2 linked regions of the Astyanax mexicanus genome follow. The protein of the gene in region 2 interacts with the protein of the main gene of each other region in a biochemical or structural test. Links are inferred from orthologs where the notes say so. Each region holds a gene or a part of one and is shown on either strand. Other genes may lie near its edges.

Region 1 (10,704 bases), on a different chromosome or scaffold from region 2:
ATTCCAAACATGCACTATGAAACCACAGGTAAATATGATTCTACTGGACACTACACCTTTAAATAATTATTTGCAGGTAGTCTAGGTTCATGTTTATAGTGAATTTACTGCTGTAGTGCCGGACCCTAAATATCTTGAATAAATTACTATAGATTAAGACACTTTTTAGTCAACATTTTCAGCAGTTTCTTTGGTTCCAGTAACAGTAATTCTGCTCTGATCTCCACAGGCATGGAGACATCCATAGTGTTTTGGCCTGTGAAGCTGAAAGAGAGCAGCCGTGTGTTGTTTTTTCAATTTCAGCTCTGGGATTGTGGTGAAAATGCGATGCGTAGATTCGACCATATGCTAACGGTAAAAGCCTATTTTGCGTAAAATCTAATCCAGTAAAAAATTTTCTATATAGTACTGGAAATGGCTTTACAGAACTGTTTTTAAAGTTTTTCTATTACCTCTAAACAGCCAAAGAATCTGGTAACCCTTTAAAATGGAATAACTTTGTATATAATTATAATTATTTAACAAATAGGGTTTCTGTATTGTTTTAGTATACAATTATAAAAACATTCTTCATACATCCCTATGAGAAAACACACCACAAGTACAAAATAATAAAAATAATAGTGTGTGTTGTACAAAGTTTTATATAATTCCATCCATCAAAAACCATGACAAAAAAACGCTTTTCTATCTTCTTTCTGTATTAGTGCTGTCATGTTTCTCTATTTCTAGCTTTAATAGTACAGTCTGATTTACATACTTGCTCTTTGACATGTTTTGCATATTTTAAGGCCCACAATGCTCTTCAACAATTTTTCTACAGTCTTGCAAGGAACAGGTTGATGCCATACTCTTCCTCTTCTCCTTCACTGATCATGGCTCTTTTAAAGACATCTCAAATCAGATGTCTCGGTTCACAGATCCTTCGGACAGGGTTGTCAGACTGGTGGTTGGTACAAAGTATCCTTCAATCACTTCTGATAGGTGGACATTTTAACGATTTACGTTTGAACGATTTCAGTGTATGTACTGACTGAGTAAGTGTGGGACAAAAGATTGATATTGCAATACACTGATTTGTGGCAAAATATTAATATTTGTATTAATTTATTCATTTTATTTACCATTAATTAGTAGTATTATTTAGGAGTATTTTATTCTGTTCTGTAGCACAGATTATGTAAAATGTCATAGAGAATTGACTTGCGATATATATCGAGTATCGCTGAGTCACAGTATTCTGATATCCTTGCTATTGTGAGCAACATATTGCAATAATACAACAATCATATTGTGAGAACTGACAGTGTGTGTTTCTGTTCACACCCATCAGTCTAGATATTTTTTTCCTCCATCTTATGCTGATGTTTGTTTGCTTGAGTAATTTCTGTACAAAAACTAAGGAAGAAAGAAGCTCTGACCAAAAGAATCTGACCTTCAAAAAAAAGCATTGCCCTTAACTCAGATTGAACAGATTTGACTTGTTTATGCACACAGATGTGACAGAGAGTGAGATCAAACGCTTTCAGGAGGTGTCTCGTGTGCCAGTCTTCCGGGTGGGAGGTGATGTGAGTGAAGGGTTTGGTGAGATTGCACCCCTGCTAAATGCCTTAGCAGAAAACCTGTGGCATCAGGACTGCATTCACGCCTCATCTGCCTCTCTACCCCCACAGCCTCATCCAGAAGATACGAACCGAGAGGTTATTGTGTAGCTGTGCAGTTTAACATCACAGAGCACAGTGCAAGATCTCAAATCACAAGCTGAAGGACCTGGAGAAAGAACTTTACACAGTGTAAAGATACACCCCTAAGGGACAGTTTCCTCAGACCGGGATCAAGCCTAGTCGACTACACTGACTACGGGGATTTTCAATTTGAAGCAAAATATTGTCCACAACTAGGTTTAGCTTGTAAATGTTTATAAGTGCAACTTCTGAATAACCATTACTGATTTTCAGGTTCGAGTCACTGATGTCACGCTAGTGTAGTTGGATATTGTGCTTTATTCATTGTTAAATTAGGGGTAAAAGACATATATTCTACCAAACAAAAATGATTGTATACATTTCTTGTACATTTTTCAACAATATTTTTGTTACTGTGCTTATGGGTGGAGTAAAACTTCTTTCAGTTAAATATAACTATATAAATATAAAGGTGAATATACAATAACAGTCAAACCTTAAATTCAGTGGCGTTTTTTTCCATTTTTTTAATTTTCTGCATTGTAGATTAATACTTAAATCATCCAAACAATGAAGATGAACATATGTAACTATTTAGTAAACAAAAAAGTTAAACAAATCAAAAATCAAAAATGTTATGATAAAAGAGGCTCTCATCAGGACTGCCCTAGGAAATGAAAACCAAGAGTTACCTCTGTTGCACAGGATAAGTTCATCAGAGTTACCAGCCTCAGAAGTTAACAGAATCCCACCTAAAGGCTTTGTTTAACACTTTTAAGTTAATACATGATTCCTTATGTGATCCATAATAGTCTGGATGACTTCAGTATGTATTTACAATGTAGGGGAAAAAATAAAACATTGAATGAGAAACTTTTGACAGATACTATATGTATTTTTGTGACTGTCTTTGTGACATCACAAAAACTATTATTTCAAAAGATTTACATATTTGGATTTTACATTTACACTTACCAATAGTTACCAATATAGTCTTTCATAACCCATTCTGCCATCGATTATGGGAATCTTTAATACATCAATGTGCACAGTCTATTTTTACATCAACAGCAATAAGAAAGTTGTCTTAAAGTAGTTCAAACATTGGTCACCACACTTTTTTAATGTACTGATTGTTGTTGCATTTAAAATAAAGCATCTCAAAATGTTTATATTATTTATTGGAATAATTTGAAGTGCCTTTCTTCAGTCTTCAGTCAAGGCCATCATAAAGGTGTATGGATCACTTAACTGCAATCATATAGAGAAAGAAAAAAAATATTCTGCAAGGGTAGAAATCCATGCATTAAAATTTAAATTGACAAAAATATGTTTTCTTACCTTTTGTCTTGTGTTTAAAAGCTGTAACTGTAAGTGCACCACCCTGCCCCAAGGATGAGCTCACTGACATGGGGTCTGCATCTGGAGGAAACTGCCATTTGTGGAAAAATGTGTCTATGACGGTACCATCTGATGCCAGCTGAGAAATAAAAGCAGAATATTACAATGAGACAAAAATGTATGTCTTCTAAATGTATTTAACTAATAGGTTCATGTTCAAGTTGTATAGTAAACTGTATATATACTTCTGATCTATAGTTTTTTAAACACTTAATGTCTTCTTTAAGCAGTAAATTAATGAAATAAAATATTTTACTAAATAGTTTTTCATGGTAAAAAGTGGTGACATGGTAGTTTTGGAATGTTTTAATTCCACGATTACTTGCAATAAAGTCACCATTTGTGCACTACAAAGCTTATTATTTATATAGCAAATATTATTTACTTAGTATAACTCAAACATAAGCAACATATTAATGTTACAAATTAGTGTCAGCATCCTACCCCATTCTCATTGAAGGACTTCTATCAAGTGCAACAAAATAAAGAACTTTTAAATGTATTTCCAAAGGGTTTCACAATAATATCCTTGATCTTTCTTGGTATGGAATCACACAGAATACGTGTTAGATTACTCTATGCTTTTGCTTACCTTTTCAGCAGAAACCTGAATGATGTTTTGTGATGAGGTAACAATGACTTGTTCTGGCGAGAATGCACTCACGTCCACTGTGAACATGTATGTGTCTCCAAGAGTGCACATTTCCTCCTTTAGAAAACAGATATGAACATAGCTCTGCTACTTAAGTGCATGCAATAACAGAAAACACCTGTTGCTGTAAATACACAGGTTTATTGGCTGTCTTAGCCTACTTAATTTGTGGCTGCATTCTTTTATCGTATTTCCAGTGTTAAAAGTTGACTGTACAAGCAAGCTCTGATCTATATAGCAATAAGCAAGCATAGATGAAAAAACTCACCTTTAGATAATCTTCTGACATTCTGATATTTTTCTTAAGTAGTTGGAAAACAGATAGGCTTTTCTATTCCTAAAACGGTAAAAAAAAAAAAAAGTACTGTAAAATTCAGCCTAGTGACGCATTAGTGCCTTACACACAAAAACAAAAGCTTTGACTCAAAAACAAAAAACCCATCACAAGCTCCTAGAGCATTGCACTGAGTTCCCTCAGGGCTTTAAAGTCCCTTTTATTGTAGGCTGCTGTGAGTGCTAGGAGCCTCATAGCTGTGAATAAGAGTGAGGTTATGATGTCTGTGTGCAGTATTTATCACACACTGGAGAGATCAGCTTGTACAACTAATAATGTTCCAATTTATATGACTCACAATCAGAGGATACAAGGTGTGAAACTTCCAATTACAAATATTGGTGAAAAGTGTTCAGGGGTATTCTGCAAAGCTAACTCAGATAGTGGAATAACATGCAGTAGAAAATGTTCTCCAGCTCTTCTGCCATTAGGCAGGCTTGACTCAGGGCTTAGTTTATCTGGCTTACTAAGAATCCCTGCTTTGTGAAATAGTCCCCAGCTGAGCAACCCTACAGAAATAGAGTTGTGTATTAGCTGAAGAACCGATGTGACATTCTAGGTCTTCTCTCACCTCGAGCATTATTAATGATGGTCTATAATGGTCATCACATCCACTCTAATTAAGCAGGTTGTTGGACTTCTTTCAGACACAGACTGGAATTATTTATGCATTATGTACAATTCTGCTAGGATATTCTGATGAGCATTTCATCCCACAACATGATTTTGCAGATCCCTTTAAATATAAAGGCAGAGACAAAAAAAAAAAAAACGGGGGCAGTTTCCTAGACAGATATAAAATCTAGTTTTGGATTACACACCATCTGGAATTGAGATTTACAATTAAAAGGAAAATATAGTCTTTAACTGGGTTTAATCCCTTTACGTTTTTTTCACATACTGCTGGTGATTTTATTGGTTAGCTAATAACAACCTGCAAAGTATTCGAGTGTTAAGCAGTTTACAATACGAAGTGTCTGCATCAATTTATTGAATTTATTTATCAATTTAAATCAGTTTACTTAATTTATTGACCACTTGTTACTGACACGCTCCCAACTGGGGAAACTCGGGGCTTATCTAAAAACCCGAGTTTCTCACTGGTAAATACGAGTTTGTGGTGGAGTTCATGTGATATACGATATTTCCGACACTTCTTGAAGGCAAGTACGGTTAACAAATGACGTGACATTAATTTAGATTTTTTTTAACGTTAAAAAAATAAAAAAGCTTCATTATAAAATTTTATTGTAATAAATTTATAATATTAGATAATTAAAATAAAAAAAAAGTTTTGTAACTATTTATTTATCATTCTTTTGACCAATCGGCGCCCTCTCTAGGTCCACTAAAGAACTGGTTTTAGAAGCTCAGTATATATTTTTTTTCCAGTAGCAGGACTTTTATTATGAAATGCCACTACTGTGAGCGTATCGGCCATTTTGCAGAAGGAGTGACTTCCAACTTCACCACCCGTAGGAAACACCTTCCGTTACCGAGTTCACCGCAGCGCTGCCAGGGCGGGCTTTTCTTTACCTGCCAGAAACCCGTAACTCAACCCGCTTCCATTCACAAGCCTCACAGACCCACACAGAGCCCTCTAACACTTTCTCCACCGCTCCCCGAACACAGCCGTCCTCCCTGACCGCAATCTGAGAGCAGCCTGCGCCTGGCCAGGCATAAAGCAAGGCCGCCAGCATGAAGCTCACTGACAATGTTCTGCGGAGCTTCAGGGTCGCGAAGGTGTTCCGGGAGAATTCCGACAAAATCAACTGTTTCGACTTCAGCTCGAACGGAGAGACGGTGATCTCGAGCAGCGACGACGACTCGATTGTACTGTACGACTGCCAGGAGGGAAAGTAAGTGAGCGGTCTGTGTGAAGCCCGTCCCGGTGCGCGGATTTCCGCAGTGTGGGTCTGTGAGGCCTACTGCCGCACAAAGCCTCGGCCTCGAGTAGATTAGCTAGACGGACCACGAGTTCCTGCTAACAGAAAGAAAATCTGGTGCTATTGGAAGCCTGGAGTGATTAAATGTTGACGGGGCGTGTATCTGTTTATAAAAGCCCTCGGGTTCATCACAGCTGTGTGATATTTTGCTAAGTGGCTAAGCTAAGTAGCTAGGTAAAGAGTTAGCTAGCTGGCTAATGTTGAGGGATTGCAGGGTGTAGCTAAGCTAGCTGAGATCCACGCTTCTCCGGCTCTGTTTACCCGCCTTAGCGCCCAACACTAAAGGTGGGCGATATGGCCCTAAAATATTATCACGGTGTTTCATGGTATTTTCGCGATAGTGATATGACAAAACACGGAATAAATAAATGTTTTTATGAAAATTTCAATTGTATTAATGCATACAATTTGATATTACACACCCCTAACTGAAATATTAAAAATATAAGAGTTTTATCAGATCTATCAGAATGTCATGATACTAATAATGCACTCCAAATAGCTCCATATATCCAGGACTGAAGTAAAATGAATTATATTGAAGTAGATATATAATGGGAAAATGAGAACAGTGTGAATTTTTCTTTTGCTAAAAACAGCAAAAATGTAGTACCCTGATGTGATAATTAGGGGTGGGTGATATGGCATGATATATAAGGGTACATTATTGTTCACGATATTCAAAAATGTTGTCCATATTATTGCATATGATACGATATGACACACCCTTAATGACAATATTTGATCATATTGATAAGGAATAGGAGTGAGCAATGTGGCCCTAAAATATGACAATATATTTACGACAACAATATTCTTGTCTATAAAGAACACAAATTTTATTAATCTAAGAAGTATAATTTTGACACAAATGTCAAAAGTTTAATTTTTATTGTATCAGGGTTTTAAACAGTCAGCACAAACAAAAAATCTACAACTGTTTGTCTCTTTTGTAAAAAAAAAATGTCTTACCAGAACTTTGATTTTCTAAAAAGATAATAAAGTGACAAAATAAATGGTGCAGAATATTATTCTACAAAGAATAGTGACAAAATAAATAATAGTCTGCTTTCAAGACCAAATTCTATTGTGTACTATACAATATAGCACACCCCTAATATAACAATATGCTTTTTTTTTTCAAGCATATCGAGGATACTAACTGTTTACAGAACACTGTCATAACAAGAAGCATAATTAACTCCTATTAACTAGATGAAGTGCTACAAAAAATGAACGACAAAAACGACTTGGCTATGCTTGAGCGTGTATAGCAATATTTAAGAATCTGACACTGCTTATGCTGTTTGTAATGCAACGTAATGCAATGTCCAGCTCTAGTCTTGTGTTCTTTCAGTTATGGGTATATTCAACTTTCTCATTGCTCATAGTTAGCATCTTTCAGAAGTGCAAGTAACAGTATTGTGAAAAATCAAGGACAAAATGTGCAAAATTTATCACAAAAAATATAACTTTGTAACAGGGTAGATTTAATTAATATAAACATTTAACTTTTAGTGGAAAGTCAGTAGTTTGTGTCATTCCCCTAAACAGAATATTTTCTTCCCAAACTTTAAATCCAGGCCTAAACGGACACTGTACAGTAAAAAGTATGGAGTGGACCTCATCAGATACACACATGCTGCCAATACAGTCGTCTACAGCTCCAACAAAATTGATGGTATGTTGTTTTATTCATTTAAGAACTTGTGTGTTGTGTTGTTGTTCAGTGTGACTTTCTGCTTGTCATATTGATAATCCTCTGGTTAGTAATGCTCCCCCCGCAATATGTTTAGTGCTCTTTCCCCTGTTTGTGATTGTATTGTTTGTTTTTTCCCAGTTAAGAGTATAAAGGGTAAGTATAATCAAGCTCGCTGTCGTCCTTGTACTGACCGATTGTTCGGGGCTCCCTGACTGTGCCCTCTCTGGCTTGAGGTAGTTGTTTGTACAGTTTGAGGGTCTGTGATTCTGCCCTTTCAAGGAGCTAACTGTACAGACTACTGCCTTGCCCAGGGTGGTGCCAACTCATCTAAAAGTCAACCTGGAGTTTCAGAACTGCTATAGTGGATCACACTTAGCTTTTTCAGTTTCACAGCCAGAGGTCGTAATAGAGCTTAATGTCGTCTGTTTTTGAATTTTATAAGAATGTGCAGTCTCTGTAACAGTATTAAAAACTTGCAGCTGTTTCTGACTTTTTTCACTTTTACTTGATTACAGACACTATACGGTACCTGTCTCTACACGACAATAAGTATATTCGTTACTTTCCCGGACACAATAAGAGGTGAGGATCATCAATACTGAGCTAAGGCTGCTTTTTTTGTCAATGGACTGTTCTGCTTAAAGGGGAATGGAAAATATTGTAGCGTAGCGTGCAGACACAATGTTTAGTACAAAATCTGCTCTTATTCTGCCATATTCTGTTCCATTTCTCTGCTTTCCAAAACTTGTAGAATAAGGCCTTTATATGTATGAACTGTGAGCTAAATGTCAGTCTGAACATTAGAAATTCCTTTGAGTCTTATGATGTTCCCTCCACTCTTCTTAATCATTTTACTTGTTTGGGTTTAATATTCTCCAGCAGTTATTATTATTTTGTACAACACAAAGTAAAGTATGCCAAATGTATGCAGAGACACAGATTTCTTCTCATTTATTCAATAATTAGTATTTGTAAGCTGTGCATATATTGAAAACTCAAGTTGATTTAGATAGCTGTGGAAATTTATTAATTACTGAGTTTAGTGGAGTGTGGATGAGCATATAAGGATTGTAGAGTAATAGAAAGTGTATTTATTCAAGACCTTTTAGAGTATGCATGTAAAACAATCCAGTAATTAAAGTTTTTTGTTTTAGAATGCCTTGAAGAACGGATTAAAATTTATTTATATATGTGCATTGTAATTTTACAGAGTTGTTGCACTCTCTATGTCCCCTGTTGATGACACGTTTATCTCTGGCTCCTTGGATAAAACGATTCGGCTATGGGATCTTCGCTCCCCAAACTGTCAGGTAAGCCTCATACCATTTTTTTTTAAATGTTTTGTTTGTTTTTGTTTTTTTTAGGCAAAAATAGGTGATTGTTTTCTATTGTATGTTCTATTAAAACTGTTCAAAATCCTCTGTGTGGTCACAGGGACTGATGCACCTTCAGGGGAAGCCAGTGTGCTCTTTTGATCCTGAGGGCCTGATCTTTGCTGCTGGAGTCAATTCTGAGATGGTCAAACTCTATGACCTACGTTCCTTTGACAAAGTAAGAAATATATATATATATATATATATATATATATATATATATATATATATATATATATATATATATATATATATATACTTTTTTATTCAAGCAGATTATCTCAAAATTATTTATTGTAATGTAAAACAAAGTGTGTTGACAGTAAAATTTATTTAAGATAAGAGATTTTAAGAATGTTTAAACAAGCAGCTCATTAGAAAATTAACTGCTCTTTAAGTTTCAGTGTTTTGTTCATTTTGCATTTGTTGATAAATTTGTATGTTTATGGGATATAGAATATATGTTTTTCTTTTTTCCTCCTCTTTAGGGACCTTTTGCTACGTTTAAGTTGCAGTATGAGCGCACATGTGAGTGGACTGGCCTGAAGTTCAGCAATGATGGCAAACTCATCCTGGTCTCCAGCAATGGAGGAACACTCAGACTGCTTGATGCATTCAAAGGAGCTATACTACATTCATTTGGGGTGCGTACCGCAGACTTTAGCTTCTGCCTCAACTGACCCAACCTAATCCATTAAATTACTGCTTTCAGAAGTGCGTTATTTTCTCAATGAGTTCTGTTTTGGAGAGTATTGGAAATGGTGATACTAGATAATAGTGCCTGAAGACACTGAGCTTTCAAGCCTGGCGCTGATCCCTGATTGATCCCTGATTGAAACACTTGGTGTGTTACCTCTTTGCTGCATCTGTAAAGTCCATTTGTGTGGTTTGCTTTTGTAGGGATACAACAACAGTAAAGGTGTAGTTCTGGAAGCTTCCTTCACCCCAGATTCTCAATTTGTCATGATTGGTAAGTTAACTATAGCCTACAATTTGTAGTATTTTAAAGTTGTTACTCTTGTTTGGAGGATTTGTCCTAGTATGGTCAGGGATGATATCACCATACACTATAAATATGTATTTATAATGGTTCTCCAGGTTCAGAGGATGGAAAGATCCACGTATGGAACGCAGAGAGTGGAATGAAGGTGGCGCTGTTGGATGGGAAACACACAGGGCCAGTCACCTGCCTACAGTTCAACCCCAAATTTATGACCTTTGCCAGTGCCTGTTCGAACATGGTAAGATGTTGCAACATATAAGACTTGGATGTCTTGAATAATAGCCATGATGATTTCAGAGTAATTTCAGAGTTTTCCTATTTTTGGCTTCAGTGATGTGCTCAAAAATTTGTTGACTGACTGTACTGCAGTCTCTTACCCTCAGTTGTTTTAGGTTGAATGTTTGACTTTTTGTATATAAATATATACAGAAAGCAAATCATCCAGACTGCACCCATCTTGTTATATGAAAATATTATATAAAAAATTGTGAGCAGTATAAGGTGTGTTGCTGTCAATCAAAAACAGTATAATTGTTGTGCCAAACATGTCTCGATTGCAACCAGTTCACTGTATAAGTTAAGTTTTAATTTATATCAAGCATTCCTTA
Region 2 (10,979 bases):
TGCGTCGCTTCAGCTCCGCCTCTGGGAGTTTCTCGAGCCAAGGTGGGCTGGTCTGTGAGTTTCTGCCTACGTAGGCAGAAAGATAATTCAAAATTCACCCGTTTTTCGGAGGGGGGGAGGGGGGATTTCTTTGCTTAGCTCCTGCAGACAATGGGGGCTGCAAAACAGTTTAATGTGCAGGTGTACACATTCAACTCGGAGAGACCTACTGTATTCCACAAAAAACAAGAAAAATCGGATTTTCACGGAAGGTGACCTTTAAAGATATTGCTATATTGTGGCAGACATGCCAGGATATGGATAAGAAAGCTAATATGATGCACCACATTAAAGGCCCTGAAAGATTTTTATAACTCTAAAATCAGAATCCAGTGTGTGCACTTACTGTGTCAGGCTGGGCTGGAGCAGGGGGCTGAAATTTCTCTGTGAGGGCCTTGCCTCCAGTTGGTACGGTCTGAGGAGTATATGAGCCACCAACAATCAGGTCGTAATACTTCCTCCTCTGCTGACCTGAAAACATCAACAAACGGTCAGTGTTATAGTGCAGGTAATAATATAGATCCATTTTTTATTTTTTGTCACTGATAATGTAAATCTGCCATTGGACTCTCAAGTTGTCAAAATATCATGATGACTGAACCAATGCAAAAAATCCAAAATTACTTGGAATGCGATTTGTTTTCACCGACTGTCTTAAGAGAAAAAATGTTATTAATTTGATAAGAAACAAGATTTAATGACCATATTAGTTACAGGACAGAATTCCTGTAGAATTATTTTTATTATTCCAGTCTACACTGATATGCCATCTCAAATCAAAATCAAAGAAGCCACAAGTGTCTTTATGTTTAAAAGCGCCATATTTAGCCTTTTAAAGTCTGAATTCTGAACATGTTTCAAAGAAAACATAAATTAAAAATACACTACAAACAGGTGAATGACACATTATCAAGCCACATTTTTAGCAACCCTGAAACATGAACCTCCAAACACATATGAAAATTACTCCAGACCCCAAAGAGGCACATTTTCAGTTTCAATTTCAGTAGGCTTCAGTTTAAAAACCAAAGAGAAAGCAGGAATTGAATCCCTAGACAAGGCTGCGTTCACAGGCTAATTCTTCCAACCTAAGCGAGCAGATTCACTGTGGACCTCTACGTCACCCTGTTATATCATGTATTAACAGTATGCAGTATGAAGTTTTCTGTTCTTCACACATATATTACAGCTTTTTCTGTGGTTATCACGAACAATCAAGCAGAGGCGATACCAAAAAAATGAGGTTTATCTTACAGCCTTAGTCTGTACCTTTGATGTCTAGCTGGGCATGGACAATGTTGCCCATAACAGAGGTGTTGTGCAGGTGTTTGACTGTGTCTTTGGCCCCTCTGGTGCTGGTGAAGAGTACACGGGCCAGGCCCAAGTGCTTCCGGGTCTTCGGGTGAAACAAGATCTCCATTTCTTCCACCTCCCCAAATTTGTTGCACATCTCTAACAAGAAAGGTTCCTTGATGTTATCGTTTAGCCGGGCAAACGTCACCTCCTTCAATGGAATAGGACCCACGTAGTACTCATCCAACTGTTGGAAAAGAAAAACACAGAGGAAAACTCCATTAGGAGGAGGTAAAACTGCAAGCAGAAGAGGTCTGCTCAAAGCTTCAGACTTATTACCCTCTACTAGAGCTCTGCACTGGACCGATTTTTTATCCTTATTTATTTACATCATGTCAATTACGCACAACATTAACTGAGTGAGTATTATCATAAAGTGCATATTTATTTGCAGAATTTCTCCACAATTATATTGTCCTGGAAGGTTATCCAACTGCTTCCACAAATTACATAAAAAATTAAGATCTGTGCTGCAAAATATTCGTAAAGGGACCACTTTACAGACCACTGAGTCAGACCAATACCTTTTACTACATTTTCACCCAAACCCAAATAAAAAAAAACAATCATTAAAATTAATGCCTTATGCTTCAATATTTCTCCTTTACCAATTGTAGTGTTGTTCTCAGTCCTTGAGAGTTTGGTCTTTGCTCAGATCGGCTTATCTTATTGTGGTTCCTACTGCTCACATTTCAAGATGCATCAGAAAGAGCTCTTAAACATACCTGAATATTTACCTCCAAGCTTTTGTTGCACATCTCCAACATTTGTCCATGACAGGAAAATCATGCCCACAATTATGTAGTGTGCATTCAGCATTAGCTATAGCAAACAATGCCCACCAAAAGGCCTGTTTTAACTCTCTGCTGACCAAAAAGCGATAACAGCCACCAGAGCCAAAAAGACTCAACCAGACCTCAGTCTGTTCAAAAGTTAAAATTTCCTGTCTCTAAAGATCCTTGCAGAAAACAGGCCTTCAGACTGAGACAATTACTTATGAAATGTTAAGAATTTGTTCAGGTGCACTCAAGCAAGAAGAGCAAAACAATTCAGCCAAAATATGTATAAAAATGTACTCTAGAGAAAACAAGAATTGATGTGGAACATTTTCACTCACAGGTTGCAAATATGAGAAAAAAAGACTGACATTAAAAACATACCTTAAATTTGGGCACGGGAAGCGACAGCTCCGTGTGCCTGGACCATATCCTTCGGGGCCGAGGGTCACGTAACTCCCCCACAGGTGGGAACCCTGCGTCCTAAGGGTTAGAAAATAATTTAATGAATATTAATCGCTTAATAAGGAATCATGTAGTTATAAGTATTCCAAAAATATAGCCTCAATTTTAACATAAGCAGTGCTAATAGTACAAACCAGATTTTGCTGTTATGTACAATATCAATATTTATTTAGTGCTAAAAACTGACAAACACATGCACTTAAAACTGCATGGCCTGAATAAGCATAACGGCATACAGACTACCTATTTGACTACCTATAAAATCTTGATATTAACTTAAGCGGAATTATGGGCTGAAGCAGATATCCAAAATTTGATATGCATGTCAGTGATGATTTACTAACATTTATAAAATGTTGAAATTGAGACTAAATTACCTTGGATTAGCATGACAAAGAAACAAAGCATTTATTTCTACTAGTTTATGTCCAACACTTATGATCCTGTTGATAAAGGCCTTCAGCTGCAGCATATAAATATTAAAACCAGGTGTACCACAGCTAAACTTAAGAGGGCAAGGCTGGTAGATCTCCAAGAATGAAGATTCCCAGTATTGTGTAAAAGCTAAAGGTATATCCGTCTTATTAAATCCAACACAAATGTCCAATAAATAAATTAAAATATTTTAATGCATGGTGAGTCACTTAACACATTTCAACTGAAAGCATTGAAACAGATGTTCACAAAATGACTCAGAGGCCTCAGAATTAGCTTGCTGACAAGTAATACATTACCCTTAAATGCCCTGATTTTAGTTATTTTCTTGCTGACTGCGGCGTCTACCATCACAAACCAACTATATAAAAAAAGCATATACCGGCACACTGAAGTGAATCCCATCGTATCTGTAGATCTTCTGAGCGACCCTGCGAATGGCAGGGTCCTGTACAAGTTTGTAGCTCTTCCATTGCAGACTGAGAGCTCGCTGGGTGTCCGCCCCACTATCTGGATCCATGCTATTACTGCAGAGAAAATAAGAATGGTGAATGAAATTCACAGGACACAACGGCAAAGGCACAAATGGCACAATGGTAGGGATGCACCGATGTGGGAAATCAGACTTATATACTATATATAAATTTGCTGAAGAGGATACACATTTTATTACTTACAGAGAGACTCAACACACTGGTATAACTTTAAAAAACTAAAAAAAAAAAAATACATAAATCAAATCATTTTAAAGAATCTCTGTCAGTGTGTGTCAATTTTATTAGCATGGCCAGCATCACTTAGACCTTTGCTGCCTTACAATAAATACAGAAAGTCAGCAAGTATCGGTTCGAAGTATTGGTCATATTAATATCACTGAATGCTGCTGATTCAAAAAACAGTATCAACCTATACTGACATAACTTCAATATTATCATGCATCCTTACAATATTTAGTTCAATCGGCATTACATAGGTTAGTCTGGTAAACAAACTTGGACATGATGGTTATGTTGGTCATCCAGCTTAAGCTTTCCAAACTCTCTTTTTTGTTCTTAGGGAAAGAATTAGAAATAGTCAACCTAAAGAGTAGGTCAGATGATGACCAAGGGCTGTATGCAATCCTTGCTCAAGCCCTCTCCTGATCATCTTCCCTATGCTATTGTCTCTTGTTGCTGTTGGAGATGAGTCTAAGAGGAGTTAATCAGGTTTTTGTTGTGATGCTGCACGCATAGTTGCACAGTTGCAACAATAGCAGCTAATCATATCCCTCATAAACTGAGTCCTGTTTTTAACAATATTTCAACACTACTTGAAAGAACAGCCGATTTTACATAGCTAACGACTTTTACCGGCAACCTGCACTCATATCCACATGGTTATAACAGTATAAACACTAAAACTGTGGGCTGCCTGCAGAGTAGATACCGCTAGGTTAGGAGAAACGCTATGAACTGTAGCTAATAACCCCAGATTTCAAACTAAACTCGTTTTACCCTCCGTCTCCGCGGCGAATTTATCCGAGCACTAAAACAGAGGCTCCCGTCTGCTAAAGTCTTTTATCCCTCTTTTAGAGCCTCCAACGCAGCTACGAGCGGTCACCTGCACTTAGCTAAAGCGCTAACAAGCTAAAAACGTCCGCCACAATGCCGCTAAACAAGATAGCTAGCATGCTAAGCTAATGTGCTAACTAGCCGCTCGGCAGGCCGCTACAGCGAACCAGACTCCCGGAGACCCGCGGAGCCAAAAAGCGGCGTATTTTCCACTCCGGGGCCGCGCTGCCCGGCCTCGAGAGGTGCTGCCCGCGTTCCGGTGCCGCTTCGAGACATTTTAAAGCGCCATATTCCACCTAAAAGCGCTGTTTTGAGGAAATAATCGGGGTTAAACACACAGCGGCCATCGCGCAACCAACCTGAGAGCCTCGCCTGTCCGCCATTCGTCACAAGAACAACATTCCTTTGATTCGGCTCAAGCACTTTCCGCACAGGATCTGCCTATCTTTGCCGGCTAGCGAACTTAATGAAAGCGCTAAATTATTAAAACATGAATCAAACGATCCGTGTTTTAATTTACAGTAAACAATACAACACGCTTCATCCTCTGACGCAGCTATATATTTTTTTCTATCTGACGAGCTAGCAATGTGTGTCTTAAATTGGCGAATCTGCCGTTTACTTGCTAAAGACGTCACTAGGGAGTCAGGCGGGAGGGTGAAGGTGAAGCCTCGGCCAAGTGCATCAAAACAAACAAAACAAAACAAAACAAATATATATAAACAAATTAAACAGCCATAAAACAAACAAACAAAATAAACATATGTAAAGAAAATATGCAAGTATAAACAAACAAACGACAGATATAAATGAACAAACAAAATAAACAGCCATTTAACAAACAAAATAAACAGCTACAAACAAACCAACAAAAATAAACAAACAGACAAAAAGCTGAAAACAAACAAACAACAATTATAACGTCATGTAAGCTAGATAATTTGTATATAAACTTAAAATGAATTATACACAATTAATTACAATTAATAAAAATTACAATTATATCATTAATATTTATTTTATCTAAATAAAAATGCAAACCAAACATGGAATAAGATTTTGGAGGAAACCAGGCACTGCTCATCACGAGGCCAATACCATCCCTACAGTCAAGCATGGTGGTGGCAGCATCATGCAATGCGATGTTTTTCAGCAGCAGGAACTGGCATACTAGTCAGGAAAGATGAATGCAGCAATGTACAGAGACATCCGGGATGAAAACCAGAACTCCAGAGCGCTCTTGACTGGGGTGGCAGTTCAATTTTCAGCAGGACAACGATCCGAAGCACACAGCCAAGATCTCAAAAGAGTGGCTTCAGGACCACTATATGAATGTCTTGGAGTGGCCCAGCCAGAGCCCAGACTTGAATCTGATTGAACATCTCTGGAGAGATCTGAAAATGGCTGTGCACAGATGTCTCCCATCCAACCTGATGGAGCTTCAGAGGTACTGCAAAGAAGAATGGGCAAAACTGCCTAAAGAGAGGTGTGCCAAGCTTGTGGCATCATATTCAAAAAGACTTGAGGCTGTATTTGCTGCCAAATGTGGTTCTAAAAAGTATTAAGCAAAGGCTGTGAATACTTATGTAAATATGATTTCTTTTTTTATTTTTTTATTTTAATACATTTCCAAAACTCTCAAGAAAACTTTTTTTCACATGGTCGTAATGGGGTATTTTGTGTAGAATTTTGAGGAAAGATTAATGTAATACAATTTGGAATAACGCTGTTACGTAATAAAAAGTGAAGCGCTGTGAATACTTTCCGGATATACTGTAACTCTTGCTCCTCTCTTGCTCTGGCACTTCTAATGAGAGCAAGTTTCATAAGGTTGTTGGTCTAGTTTTTGACATAATATGGATTATACCACTATAATACCACTGTATTCAATTTGTGTAATTTTTTTACTGGTACTGTATAGCTGACTGAAACAATAAAATATTAAAAGTAAAAATTAGCCACAGTAAATGCAATAATGTTAGGAGTCCTTTCATCTTTACATACTATGAAAACATACTCTTCAGAAGATGTATTAATATTAAATAAAACTGTAATGTTTTAACATTTAATGATCTGCCTCGATTTTTATTTATGGAGTGCTCAGCAAAGTAACTGTCTGAAAATAGAGAATTCAGAATATCTTTGTTAGTATTAGAATTTTACAGCAATGCTCCAACATCTAGTAGAAGCCATTTTTGGACAGTATTGACACTGTGTATACAGTATAAAAAGTATTTGCCTCCCTACAGATTTCTTTTGTTTTTGCTTTTTTGTGATACTTTCCTTCAGGATTGTCTAGTAAACAGCAGAATTCCTGGTTCCATCTATTACAGCAAGCTGTCCAGGTCAAAGCAGCAAAGCAGCCCCAGACCATCACACTACCACCACTATGCTTTATGTTCAGAATTATGTTTTTTGTGAAATTAATTGTAAGTTTTACCATGGTTACCATTTTTGACCAGTCACTTTTTTATTATTCCATCATTACCGCTGACGCTTTGTGACCTCCTAGATGAGTTGTCCATGCCCTTTTGGAATAATTTCGGTCAGCCGGCCACTCCTGAAGATTCACCAGAGATTCATATTTTCCCAGTTTGTGAATAATATCTCTCGTTGTGGTTCACTGGAGTCCCAAAACCTTAGAAATTACTTTACAACATTGTCCAGACTGATAAATGATCAATGACTTTGTTTTCTCATCTGTTTTGGAATTTCTTTAGATCACAGCATAATGTGTTGCTTTTAGCTTCATGTTGTCAGAAAGTAAGTTCTTGATTCTACAGGTCTGGTGGTAATCAGTCTTGGTTGTGGTTAGAGAAATTGAACTCAGCTTTACAAAAAGTGTGATTAATCAAGGTTAATTTATGACGGGCTTGTTCAGGGGCTAGATTTAGATTTTTTTTCCCCTTAATAAATTAAATCATAATTAAAAAAGTACTTTTTATATTTACTTAGGTTACTTGTCTGATATTAATGTAAGTATTACAAAAAAAAACAACAACAAAAACAAATCTGTAAATCTGTAATCTTCACACCACTGGCACAACATAAGAGTTCCAGATGCTGCTGCTGGCTCAAGGCCTGGTTGGATATAGGACAAGAAGATGTGCCAAATGTATGATCTCACTTACTGATGATATTTGGCGTTTATTTTTTTTTTTTGGCAACTAGTCTCATCTTTCACTGGTTATTTACTAGGATTTAATAAATACGTTAAGGCTTTGAGTAGAGACTTAGTTTGCAGACAGAAATAATCGTCTAAACAAACGAAATCATCTCTCCATTTAGAGAACTGGAGAGCATCTCAGACATCAGACACAAGCCATTTACGTCTTTATCTGGTTTAATCTTTCCAGGAACACTGTGGAGCAGGATTTATTGGCAACTTCCTTTGAGGATGAAGTGCATAATAAATCACAGTAGCACAGTAAGTCATAGTGAGGTTCTACAGTAACTCTATCTGCAGTACCAGAATATCCCATAACATGTGGTAATGTGTACTAATCAAAATATTTTATAATAAACCGGATTGTTTAGAACAGAGGAGCAAAAGTTTACCCCAGAACATTTAAGTAATATGCTGCTATTAAAACTGACCAGATGATATATTTCGTATTTTATTTACAATAGAACATTCAACTCATTTCAAACATGATGGTATAAACAAAAAGTGTTAAACCAACCAGAATATGTTTTGTATTTTAGAGTCTTTAAAGTAGCATCTCTTACCTAGATGACAGCTTTGTACATCTTGGCTGGATTTTCTTGTGCTGTGGTAGTAGTATTGGTATACAGATATACAACAGTATACAGCTGTGGTAGAGTTGGTATACAGTGAATAGCCCTATTTTAGTAACGTTCTAATCGATATTATGGCACTTTCACATTAAATAATAACGATTACCAAAACTACTAAATGGAAATAGCTTAATAACTGGCTAAATTATCCAATAAAGGAGACTTTTCAGTGTAGTGCATTAAACAGCACGCCGTGTCATTGCAGAGGGTTAAGTTAGTGCCTCCATCTAGTGTTTTATTGTGGAACTACAACAATCAACAACAAAAATAAACAAAGTAGCTCAATACACCTGTTTTCTTTATAAGTTTTTAATTCATGCCCTTCCAATCTTACACGGAAAACGGAAAAAAAGAATCTTTATTTTACTCTCTATTTTGTTTTTGCATCTTGTAATAAGAAAATGTAGTTATTTAACTATTAGATTGGAGAGAAAGACAGGATATTATTATTATTTTCTTTTTCATTTTATCAGGGGAAAAAATAAAAACTTGAAAACCTGAATGAAATTCCATTTCTTTTTCACTATACCAAAGAGGGGAAAAATGGAACTGTAATTCATTTCACCAGCTCAGTGGTGTTAATGTTATGGCTGATCTCATTAAATGTAACACAAGTAGATTTACAACCTATATATTTTATACATAGTGTTCTATTAGGGTCATACACTGAAAAGTTGCATCACTTGTATATAAGTATATAACACTTTAGAAAAAAATTAGGAGACTTCATACTTCAGTTTCTGAATCAGTTTCTCTGATTTTGCTATTTATAGGTATATGTTTGAGTAAAATTAACATTGTTGTTTTATTCTATAAACTACGACCAACATTTCTCCCAAATTCCAAAAAAAAATATTGTCTTTTAGAGCATTTATTTGCAGAAAATGAGAAATGCCTGAAATAACAAAAACATGCAGAGCTTTCAGGCCTCAAATAATGCAAAGAAAGCAAGTTTATATTCATACAGATTTAAGAGTTCGGAAATTAATATTTGGTGGAATAACCCTGGTTTTAATCATTATGCATGGCATGTTCTCCACTAGTCTTTCATACTGCTTTTGGATAACTTTATGCCACTCCTGGTGCAAAAATTCAATCTTTTTTTTTTCAGAGCTGTGTTTGTCATTTAATTCATTTTTACTTCTCGGCTTACACAGTGATGTACAAAAGTAGTAGGAAGACAACTGAGATTTATCCTCAGTCTTCAAGAAGTGCCCAACCATTGAAGATTTGCACAGTGTTTATGATCATTTGAGTATGTCTAGAACTGCAGATCACTCTTAAAAATTACTCAGAATGTTAAAGTGACATTATACCTCTTTTTACACAAGTTAGAATAGGTCTATAGAAAATACAAAACATTTTCATTGAGTTATTTGAACAAAATCACTCTTACATAAAAACATCTCACCAGATTTGTTCTTGCCAGTTTCAGTCCCTTTCAGAATGAACTGTTTAAGGGCTCTGTTACTTTTATGCAAATAAGCTGTTGCTGGCAGCCCCATGTTTATGCTAAGTGTTTACCACATGTTAATGTTAGCTTGTGCTAACATTAGCTCAGCTGTATTATTAGTGAGGAGACAGGCCGCTGTCTCTTGACGCGAATCACGGAGCCAGTTCAAGGATAAAGTTACGCCTTTCAGGAGAAAAAGCCAATCAGCTTGCTGGTTTTGCGGAGCGTGGTGGGCTAGTAGGGAAGCCCCCACCCCAGCAACCCCACCGCCTCGCTGGGGAGGATTTTTGAGGGTTTTTGAGTTCTTGCACCAGGTTTCAGCGCTGATTAGAGGTGTCACGATTTCGATATTTCATCAAAATCGATCGAAATTATGTCATGGTCTCGAGCCTCGAAGTCAAAAAGAGGATCGACGATCCCTCCCTCTAAGCTACTCAAGCACGCGCATGCGCTACGCAAATGGTGCAGCATGCTACGCAAATGGCTCAGCACACTGTAGCCGACGCCACGGACATTGTGACTGCTCAAAGAGCAGCTCTTTCTCCAGAGAATGTGGACATTCTCATCTTCTTGAAGAAAAAATTTGAAAATATAAAAATAACAGTTGTTTTGTCTATCCTCAAAAATGTTAATAGTTTTGGTACCTTAAGGAGCATCTTTCTCTCAGATAAAGTTAATAATAATATATCTTTGTCAAAGAAAAGAACTTGTCATTCTCAGGCACCAAAAAAGTCTTAAAGTCTTATTTTTCATGTTTAACTGTTATAGTAGGATAGAGTTCAGTTTGTTAAGGCTCTAAAATCAATTTTTTTACATGACTGTTCCTGTATTTTTTTATTATTTATTTTATGTTGCACTACGGTGGCCGAGAAAGCCCAACGCAGTGCAAATTGAAAAGCGCTGCAAAAGCACAAAACACATCCATCAAAATTACAACACAGAAAAACGCGCTGCAACTAGAACCACAACACAACGGAAGTGAGTCACAACACAACGGAATTTTCCCGGGGGACCTTAAAAGATGCTGTACCAGCTAAGCTGCGTCTTCAGTAACGTCTGGGACTTCACTATGTGTACAAAGGACAATAAGTGGCAAACAAGGCGTTTTGT

What was found.
Region 1: the proteins of setd1a (region 2) and wdr82 form a complex in vitro, tested with the Homo sapiens proteins (2 studies listed by BioGRID). The link is inferred for Astyanax mexicanus from reciprocal best matches to the Homo sapiens genes SETD1A and WDR82.

The regions. Positions count from the first base shown.
Region 1 is NC_064412.1:15,874,373-15,885,076, reverse strand, and holds the start of wdr82 (WD repeat-containing protein 82), read left to right. Parts: upstream 1-5,522; 5' UTR 5,523-5,770; coding exon 5,771-5,931; intron 5,932-7,601; coding exon 7,602-7,699; intron 7,700-8,235; coding exon 8,236-8,302; intron 8,303-8,930; coding exon 8,931-9,030; intron 9,031-9,154; coding exon 9,155-9,271; intron 9,272-9,581; coding exon 9,582-9,737; intron 9,738-9,993; coding exon 9,994-10,063; intron 10,064-10,191; coding exon 10,192-10,334; intron 10,335-10,704. Other genes in the region: cplane2 (ciliogenesis and planar polarity effector 2), read left to right, coding at 1-28, 230-354, 824-960, 1,475-1,712; heat shock protein beta-7, read right to left, coding at 2,929-2,936, 3,027-3,165, 3,679-3,795, 4,007-4,027. UniProt on the Homo sapiens protein: Regulatory component of the SET1/COMPASS complex implicated in the tethering of this complex to transcriptional start sites of active genes.
Region 2 is NC_064426.1:19,728,155-19,739,133, forward strand, and holds the start of setd1a (histone-lysine N-methyltransferase SETD1A), read right to left. Parts: upstream 5,198-10,979; 5' UTR 4,978-5,197; intron 3,596-4,977; 5' UTR 3,589-3,595; coding exon 3,451-3,588; intron 2,652-3,450; coding exon 2,553-2,651; intron 1,580-2,552; coding exon 1,309-1,579; intron 511-1,308; coding exon 386-510; intron 1-385. UniProt on the Homo sapiens protein: Histone methyltransferase that catalyzes methyl group transfer from S-adenosyl-L-methionine to the epsilon-amino group of 'Lys-4' of histone H3 (H3K4) via a non-processive mechanism.